Drosophila melanogaster: one gene and its partner. The protein of the gene in region 1 interacts with the protein of each later gene in a pairwise test. Each region holds a gene or a part of one and is shown in the gene's direction. Other genes may lie near its edges.

Region 1 (4,674 bases):
CCATCAACTTTCGCCAAGTTCATCGGTGGCCCACAGCAGGCTGCACCATATGTAGCTGCGTCGCAGTACTACCAAGCCTATTTTGGATAGACACGAACAGATACAGATACAGATAAAGATACAGAATACATTAAAAAAGGATTTATAACGTCTTAGTTAACTTATATAACTTTAATTGTTAAACCTGACCTGTTCCACACAGACAGTAATCCCATACATATGTCCAAACATACATATGTCCATCTGTCCGTATGAACGTCGACATATCTGAAATTATAAGAGCGATAAGATTCAGGTTGTTTCAGAGTAATAACAATAAATATACAATATACAATATACAATATACAATACAAGTGTTTCAATTTTTCTTTAATTGGTACATTTATCTTATCTCCCGTTGATATGTGTTTCTGTTGTATAACATAATTTACCATCCTGATCAAGAATGTTTTCGATCTAGTTTTTGTTATTCGCTCTAAAAAACTCCATTTGGGCCCAAATAAAATAGCTAACTGCTTACGAAAGAATCTGAATGCCCCTTATTGATGTTTTTCCCATTTCGTTACTTATATTTTGGTGTTCAAAATACAAGAATTACACAGTGATTAGTGATTACCTAGTGTTGGCAAATTCGAGAAATAAATGATCAATGATCAATGTCTAGTTCGAAATTCACATCAAATATATTGTGGTTTATTGAAGAAAACTTTCAACATATGAGTGGCTTAGAATGAGTACATTTGTTATTTGCGTAGCATGACAACCCTCGGCTATTTGTTAACAAATCCTACTCGTATCCTGAACATAGGCCAGATGGTTAGAAGTGCATTGCGTATTACATTTTAACTTCGATCCTAGCTTGTTTGTAAATTAAGAAGTGCTACCACTAAAATTACTTCTAAGTTGCCTGTGGTACTTGCGTTTAATTGTTCGTTTGATCATTCGAATAGTGCGATCGGAGGCCATTCGACGAAGCCATGCTCCATCAAAACGCCAAATCCTCCGAAGACAGCAATTCTGGCTGCTTGCCGTTTAGATAGAGGTGGCTCGGGGGGGGGGGGGGGGGCAGCTCTGACAATGAGTGAGCAACGATAATCTATTATGACCGTAACAAGAAATAAATCCCAACTCGGTAATCCATCATTTTACGAGTTGGCAATCAAAACAAGGGGTTTAGCTAAGAGTTGGTCTCCCGGCCCCAAGGACGGACAGGTGGACCGGGCTGACGGACGGCGGCCTGGCCAATCAGCGGACTGGCCATCACACATAGCTGGCCAGCGAGCTAACGAACAGGCCGTGTATGATGGTCGTGTAAGCGCTGGCCAGAACCAGGAAACTAAGATTGGACCTGGACGGGAACACGACTTTCGGACAGCCGCGTGCGCATTGAGGCCAATCTGTATGTAACGTGAGGACTCGCCCGGGCTGGCAGGTCTAGGCCTTTAGGGGCCGGCTAAATAGTTGCCAATAATCCGTGTCCAAACTGATCGGGTTGCCGTTTATGGTAATGGGCAAAATTAGATGCCGAAATGTGCGTTGGCTCGCCAGGCTTCATTACCAATGCACAAACTTGGCAGTGCGTCCCGACTGATTGGCCACTCGGCCACGGTTGCCGGCCAGCGGTCTGCATTGTTATTGCTTCATCAAGTGTGCAGCGGCCAGCTTATCCAGCACGTCCGGTGTCCACAATATCCATAGTGTCCAGCACTCGCGGCAGAAGCCCAAGCAGTGACTGCGTGGCATAGACCCGACCCCTGGGAGTATTGCGAACTGCTCAAACATTTTCGAAATCGCATTCAGAGGTGAAGGTGCAACAGTTGCTGGCGTATCTTGTTTCGACGGCCTCGGGTGCAGTTAAAGGGCTTAAAGGGGCGGCAGGCCAGTTAAAGAAAAATATGGGTTAGATTCTTCCGCAGCGCCATGCCAGCGGTCAATACAAAGCAAAATTGAAACGCGGTTCTCTCCGCCTCCGTTTAGTACCGCCTGAGGAAGAACAGAAGCTGTGCAGCATTGACAAAAACCAACCCAAAACCAATAGCTATAATAATGTATAAATATCATTTTTGAATAATAGAAAACTTTCAATTACTAGTAAAAGGTACTCTTTCGAATTTTCGATGCTTGGTATAAAAAAATACCTCTGAAGCAGATAGAAAAACATTCAAATATTTTGACTACGATTTACTTTTAATCTGACTAAATTCGAGTGAGATTTTATTCGTTGCAAGAATTTTGTAATATTTATTGTAATGTATCGTTGTTTCGTTATCTTTGGACAACGTCTATACTCACATATATGCATATACGTTTTTGACTTTCGCCTGCAGTCAAAAATTTATTCAGTCGGCTTTATTTTCTTTTAAACTATATTTATTTTATATTTTGTTTGGGTAAATAAAGTATTCACTATTGACTGGCAAGTGAATTTTGTACAACTTGCTACGACATTTTTATGTTCAGATGGAGGCAAATACAGCCCCAGGTTAATTGATGGCTTTCTAACTTATGAAATGCGTTATTTAATTATAAAGACTTTTTTAAACGCGCGCTTCCGTCCCAGAGACATTGTTCAACACTAGTCGGCCGGACGTGTCATCAGAGTAACCCGACCAGAAACTGCATGAAATAAGCAGCACTGTCGACAGTCAAAAGCTGCCTGCTTTTAGCCAGCCCAGTCGAACGTTTCTTCTTCTTCTTTGGCCCAGAAACAACTTGTTGAACGAAAGAAGGCCAGCTCTCTGTTTTGTTGCTCCACGCACACACATTCCGACGAGTGTTACACGTCACCAGATTAAAGGAACTATCGCAAAAACTATCAGTGATAAAGATGCGCCAGCTGAAGGGAAAGGTGAAGGAGACGCGCAAACAGAAGAAGGAGCGCAAGCTGGACAACCTGGAGACCCAGGCGAAGATCCGCACCGTGGTGCTGCCGGCGCTCGGCGTTTTGGCGGTCTTTCTGGTGCTGTTCGTCTACTTGAAGACCCGCCCCGCGGTCTTGGCCTAATGTAGTCATAAAATGTAGTTTATAGTCGTGGTCAGTGCAATTGAATCGTTGTAAAGACATATAGCCTTAATAGTACAATTAAATCACAGTTCGTCCATCCAAAAAGCATGTTTTACATAAAGTGGATTTTCCATGACACGAACAACACCCTGCTGTTCAAGTGCAGTTCCTGGGAATTTGAGATTTGGGGACAAAATGTATCCGAATTACGGTCGTTGGTGGTAGTGTTGAAAACCGTCTAGCGCTTTGGCGGTTGATTAAAAAAGGGCACTAGGAAACGGTAAAAACCGTAGCAGAGGCACTTCAATATGTAAATATGTGCATATGTATATTAGAGAAGGCGGCATCCACCAACATGTTTTATTTTTGGCCGTTTTGCGTTCAGTTTTTAATTGCGATTGCCCTTGTTTCAGTTTCACTTACGCCCGTCCACCGAGGAGCTCGTCGTCGGTGACCGCAAACTAATAATTGTTAATACATATGCATATGCATGTACATAAATTGAAGTAAAAGTTCAGTGCTCGAAAGGCAGTAACTTAACTCCATAGTTATCAGAGTCAGCCAAATACGATTACCTAACCATACAAACACAAATCGCAGTGGGCCAGTCAGCTGTTTTCAGATTCCGAGCAGCTGCAGACGAAGCGCCGAAGCAGCGTCGTTTGACGTTTCTTTTTCACATTCTCTCACTTTTGCTAAGACTCTCACGCTGGCGGCTGCGGGTGACAAAGGCTCCTTTAACTATTCCACTATGCTCAAGTTTCTGGTAAGTTTTCCGGTTTCCTGATGTTTTTAAGTTTATGATTCACACCTGAAATCATATCAGATACGAGATACAACTTTTCTGTGGTTTTTGTGGTTGTGTTGCTTTTCGCGGCGATGACGCGCCCCTGCACAGTGGTGAAATGTGTTGTCTAGGGGTTCAAAATCAAAACCAATTATTTGATTAAATATTAATGATTAATATAAATGACAAAATGTAATACATTTGAAAATACCTTCCCAATATCTAACTTCAACAAATAAAAAAATAGTATTAAAAGTTTAAGCAAAATTCAAAATATTCTTGCTCGGATAAAACAAGAGTGGATTGGTAAAACGGTAGAAAGTGCGCCAAAACACCAGTTAAATAGATTCCAAAATTGGTTCAATTTGAGTTTACTTCCCAGTGTGCGCTGTTTGAATACATACATAAGTGACTTTTGGTTCAACGTTATATAAGGCCTCACAAATTCAAATATCCACAAAAATAAAATAATCACCTAGTCGTTGGAAATTATGTCGACCATGACCGCTCAAGCCATGAGTAAACAGATTCGGACTCTTTGAAAAACAACACAGGCCTCACCAAATTGATCGTTTATATAGACTGGAAGTTAAAATGAAACTGCTTGGACTTGGGGCGCAGGTTTTGAGGCTCAAAACTGGCGGGCAGAGTCGCTCTGCGAAAACTTGCCCACCGGAAGTTCGCCAGCCATTGCCGTGCTGTCCCAAAAAACGCTTTTGGACTTTCAAGCGAGTAATATGTTTCTCGACGGTCAGCATGCGAAATAGACATCTTCAGGAAGATTTTCACAACCCACTCTAATAATCCTCCTTTCTCCATTCCAGTTAACTTTTGGCGCCGGGGTGTATACGGGAATCTATGTCTCACAGAACTATGAGGTAAG
Region 2 (4,423 bases), on another chromosome or scaffold:
ACTTTAGGCCGCAAACCTCCTGCGTGTGTCCGGACAATGTGGAAAGCTTGTGCTCACGTGCACGCACATCGTGGTGGACAATGGTGCCATCCCGGCTGCCAGAGGAAACCAGGAATGAGTTCCAGGCCAAGGATCCCACTCGGGCACTGTGTCCATCCATCACTCGCAGACGCTTCACTTTGGAGCAGTCCCACAGCTCCACGGCACCGGTGCTGTTGCCGATGGCAAGTATCTGCCCCTCCTGGATCCACGATAGCGAGCCTGCGTAGTCGCCCTCCTCAAACTCCGTAAGCTGCTCGATATTTCCGGTCTGTGCGTTCCACAAATAGACGCAACTGCCCAAGGCCACAGCCACTATATTGTCGGCACTCCAATCCATAAGATTTAAATCTGGAAGAGATCAATAGTAGAAAAAAAGAAAAGAAAAGTTTTCTTCGACCTACAGTAATCGTTAATAAAATCAGGTGCATCCAGAATCCTCTCGGATGTGGTGGGTATATAGCGTGAGCCACTCTTTGTGGATATGGGTGTCTTAATGGAGTACACGACCTTCAGGGGATTGTTGTGTGTTTCTGGAGCAGCGGGAGCCTTGTTTTGGTAGCACAAAATGCGCCCGCCCTTGGAGTCACCGACCTGGGCCACTTCAGAGATGAGTTTCTGCCGGTCGCCCTTGTGAGCCGAAGCCTGGACATTGCTCTCGTTGCTGTTGCTCGAGGTGGCCTTGTCGTTCTCCTCATCGGACTTATCGCCGGAGTCTTTGTTCACCTAATAGATGGTCAGGTGGTCAATAAATTCTTAAGGGGTCTGGAATAAGGATGCCCTTACAGGGCGGGATGGAGGGATGAGTGGAATCCTTACCAGAAAGTGTGCTAACTCAAAGTTGGTAGCCGCCCGATTCGGAATAAAGCGATCTCCGCCTCCTGGCGTCTTAGAGGGCGTGGTGTTGGACTTCTTGGTCTTGCCCTCGCTGCTCTTGCCCGGAGTTTTCGTGGGCGCCTGGACACCCGAGAAACTGGTGTTGTACGAGACGGATAGCACCGACCGAGTGGTATTCACACTTCCATTTAGAGACGCCTCCAGCTTCTTCTTCCACCTGGGCGCAGGTCCGCGCGTCTCGCCGTCCATGATGAGAGCATTCTGCAAATCGCTCACAAAATTGAACTGCGACATTGTGTTCCGCTCTTTTCTGGTGTCAGTTGATTATCGAATTTATTTATTTATTATTATTAAAAAACAGAAGCTCATAGAACACTTGGATCGAATTTTTTCCAGATTTCGAGATGCAACACAAATGGCGGTTCGATTTGGAAATGTAGTGTGACCGCATCGGCTAACTGTTAGTGGTATTTTTTGTGCGTAGAGAAAATTACCAGAGAATTAAAATTAATACAAAACATTATAATTCGTTAGAAATTAAAATTGCTTCTTTAAATGAAATTATATTTGATTTATAATGGATAGCTGATTATTTATTAGCCTCATTTGCAATGTGACCGTACATCTGTGCTGCCTGATCGTTTAGATTAGTGCATCCCTGGCGCACAGCTGTCATCATCGCCGCCCTTGTAAAAAAAAAACAAGTGAGTCCCAGCGCTACAATTGCAAAGCCGAATTTTACGATAATAATTAGCAAGTCACTTTGATTAGCACCTGGAAGACGTGCTCCAGCGATTTTACAAGATGGCCTTCAACTTCACCGCCTTCACGTACATAGTGGCCCTGATCGGGGATGCATTCTTGATATTTTTCGCCATATTTCATGTCATTGCATTCGACGAACTTAAAACGGATTATAAGAACCCAATTGATCAGTGCAATAGCCTCAATCCGGTCAGTAAACTTACTGCTTACACCCGCAGTGCGCCCTGTAATGTATGTGTTTGCATTTCAGCTGGTTTTGCCCGAATACCTTCTGCACATCTTTCTGAACTTGCTCTTCTTGTTCTGCGGCGAATGGTTTTCGCTATGCATCAACATACCCCTCATAGCCTATCATATTTGGCGGTAAGTGACTCATTTGACCGTGTGATATAATGTGATTTGAGATCCGAGGAGATCAAGATTCACCCAAGCCCAACATAAGCACCCTTAAGCACTCATGCTTTGTAATACCCCTATCGCTTTCAGTTACAAAAACCGCCCTGTGATGTCGGGACCCGGACTTTATGATCCCACCACGGTCCTGAAAACCGATACTTTGTACCGGAACATGCGTGAGGGTTGGATTAAACTGGCCGTCTATCTGATTAGCTTCTTCTACTACATATACGGGTAAGTCTAATTGAGATTCATTGTGGCCAGGGTCCTCATTTGTCTAACGTTTCTAATTGCTAATTTTAGCATGGTTTATTCGCTCATCTCGACATAGGCAAGCTCTTGCCTGGGGATCTCAGTGTTGGCGCCAACGCATCAGCGTCGTGTATTAGTTGTCTAAACTCGGGTAGAGGACTTCCTTTTTTGGGGAAGAGTCCCCATCAACCGCGAACAATACTTCACTTGTAAATTCTAGTGTAAATCCATAAAGACATCTTGAAGCTTTGTTTTTTTCATACAATTTGTAATACTTTTCTGCAGTAAGAGATTGTAACATGTTTTTATTTTGATTATTTTTTGCATATCGCATCTTTGGTGTAGTTGGATTTTAAGCATTAAATAAAAGTCAAATCAATGTAACCAATTTTCATTTTTCTGTTTAGCATGAGGGACAGCGGAATTTTTGGCTAAACACGACGAACATGGAGCAACGAGCACTTAAGATAATAAAGATTATGAAAGGGCACTTAAACCTTATCAGCAGGGCAAACATAGATATAGTCTCTCTCCAATTTGATACTTGCATTACACGTTTTCTAAGGTAATATACAAGTTTCTTACATCAGCAAACATATTTATCATTCGGCTTTATATTTTGGAAATTATATTTAATTTTAGAGCTTCCATTAGAATGGAAAAATTCACCAAAGAACCACATGCTAAAATAAATGTATTTTGCTTTAGAACGTATTTATAACTTTATTTTACAATCGTTTCGGGAGGCCACAGCTTGGAATAAACAATATTGTGATTGAATCTTGATTAAAATAAAAAGCTGTATACATGGATAGGTACATGGGGCTTTTAATGGGCAACTGGCGTTTGATTACGACATAAAAACAACGAAGAACAAGAAGAAGAATATGAGAACGCCGAAGATTTTGATCATCAGCCAGCGATTTTTGGAGACGGATTGAAAGTATTTCAAGATCTCCCCATGGGCAGCCTCAATATTCAATTCCGCATCCGCCACATTCGTGTCAATACGCTCCACGATCTCTTCCTGCTCCTTAACCATATGTGCCAGCTGCTGGAATATTCCGCCGAGCTCAACGATGGTAGATTCTATATTTTGCATGGTCTCCGCCCGCTGCTGGACGTAATTATCGGAATCATCGTAGATGGCCATCTGTGTCTGGGTTGATAGGAGTGGTGTGGTATCGCTGCTCCCCATATCTATGCTGACCGCTTGGTTTTCCTCGCTGAGAAGCAAAGATCCCTGCTTGGCTGTCGAGGGGGAGACGGTGTGCGCGGCCAACGGACCTGGTCCCTGGCTAAACTGATCACGTCGCGTCTTCTGCTGCTTGAGGTTCTCCGTGCGCACCTCCAGGATTTGCTTGAAGTCCGTGCTCATGCTGGCCAGTTTCGATTGCAGGGCCAGTACCATGTTAGAGGAATGTGACACCAAATGCTTGCCGTTTGTGTGACGCCGCTGATCCTTGGAGATGTCCTGCAGTCGGGCAATTTGTTGATTTAAGGCATTTAGGTCGCCTTTGATGATATAGGTCAGCTCCTGAATCTCCTGCGGTCTGTCATCAAATAAGCTCTTCTTTTTGGCCACTAAAACGAAGATGGGAATTTTAAAGTTTTGAATATGACTTTAAGGGGTTACTAAAACATGTACTTACACATTGTGAGCTTCTCCAGTTTTGCGTAGGTGCTGGCTATGTTCTTGCCAATAAACCTGGCGACCATCATGAACTCCGAGTAGCTCTGAACCTGCTTAGCTTTGCGGGGATCGCGTATATTCACTGCCCGGGTGATATTTCGAGCCTGCAGGGAACGAATCGCATTGGCGAACTCGCCCGTTCGATCGCGTGCGGCCATGACGAATATTTCTGGTTCGGGTTCCGTTTCCTGCGGCTCCTCCTTCGATTGGTAAAACTGTGAACTAGTCGGAATGGAAGCGGGGTAGCTATAGTTGCTTTGGCTATCGTTATTGATGCCCGGTTGATTGCCGGTGACCACGGCGGCAGCGGCACTTAAAGTGCGCAGTGCGTGGCCCGAGAAGGCGCGTAGGTTCCACTGGCGGGCCGCCTTGCCGTACTTGTCGTCGGAGTAATCGGGAGTGGAAATGGAATCGCCCGACTGGTAGTTGTCTCCAATGTGG

Evidence for each region.
Region 2: the proteins of CG33169 (region 1) and cni interact in a two-hybrid assay, tested with the Drosophila melanogaster proteins (one large-scale study listed by BioGRID).

The regions. Positions count from the first base shown.
Region 1 is NT_037436.4:22,861,156-22,865,829, forward strand, and holds CG33169 (uncharacterized protein), read left to right. Parts: upstream 1-2,708; 5' UTR 2,709-2,827; coding exon 2,828-3,004; 3' UTR 3,005-3,341; downstream 3,342-4,674. Other genes in the region: CG13239 (uncharacterized protein), read left to right, coding at 1-90; CG33170 (uncharacterized protein), read left to right, coding at 4,386-4,541, 4,616-4,669.
Region 2 is NT_033779.5:16,307,848-16,312,270, reverse strand, and holds cni (cornichon), read left to right. Parts: upstream 1-1,544; 5' UTR 1,545-1,580; exon of another isoform or gene 1,581-1,630; 5' UTR 1,631-1,680; coding exon 1,681-1,830; intron 1,831-1,891; coding exon 1,892-2,004; intron 2,005-2,127; coding exon 2,128-2,271; intron 2,272-2,340; coding exon 2,341-2,368; 3' UTR 2,369-2,979; downstream 2,980-4,423. Other genes in the region: fzy (fizzy), read right to left, coding at 1-390, 444-765, 859-1,170; Syx5 (syntaxin 5), read right to left, coding at 3,140-3,873, 3,942-4,423. UniProt on the Drosophila melanogaster protein: Acts as a cargo receptor necessary for the transportation of gurken (grk) to a transitional endoplasmic reticulum (tER) site and promotes its incorporation into coat protein complex II (COPII) vesicles.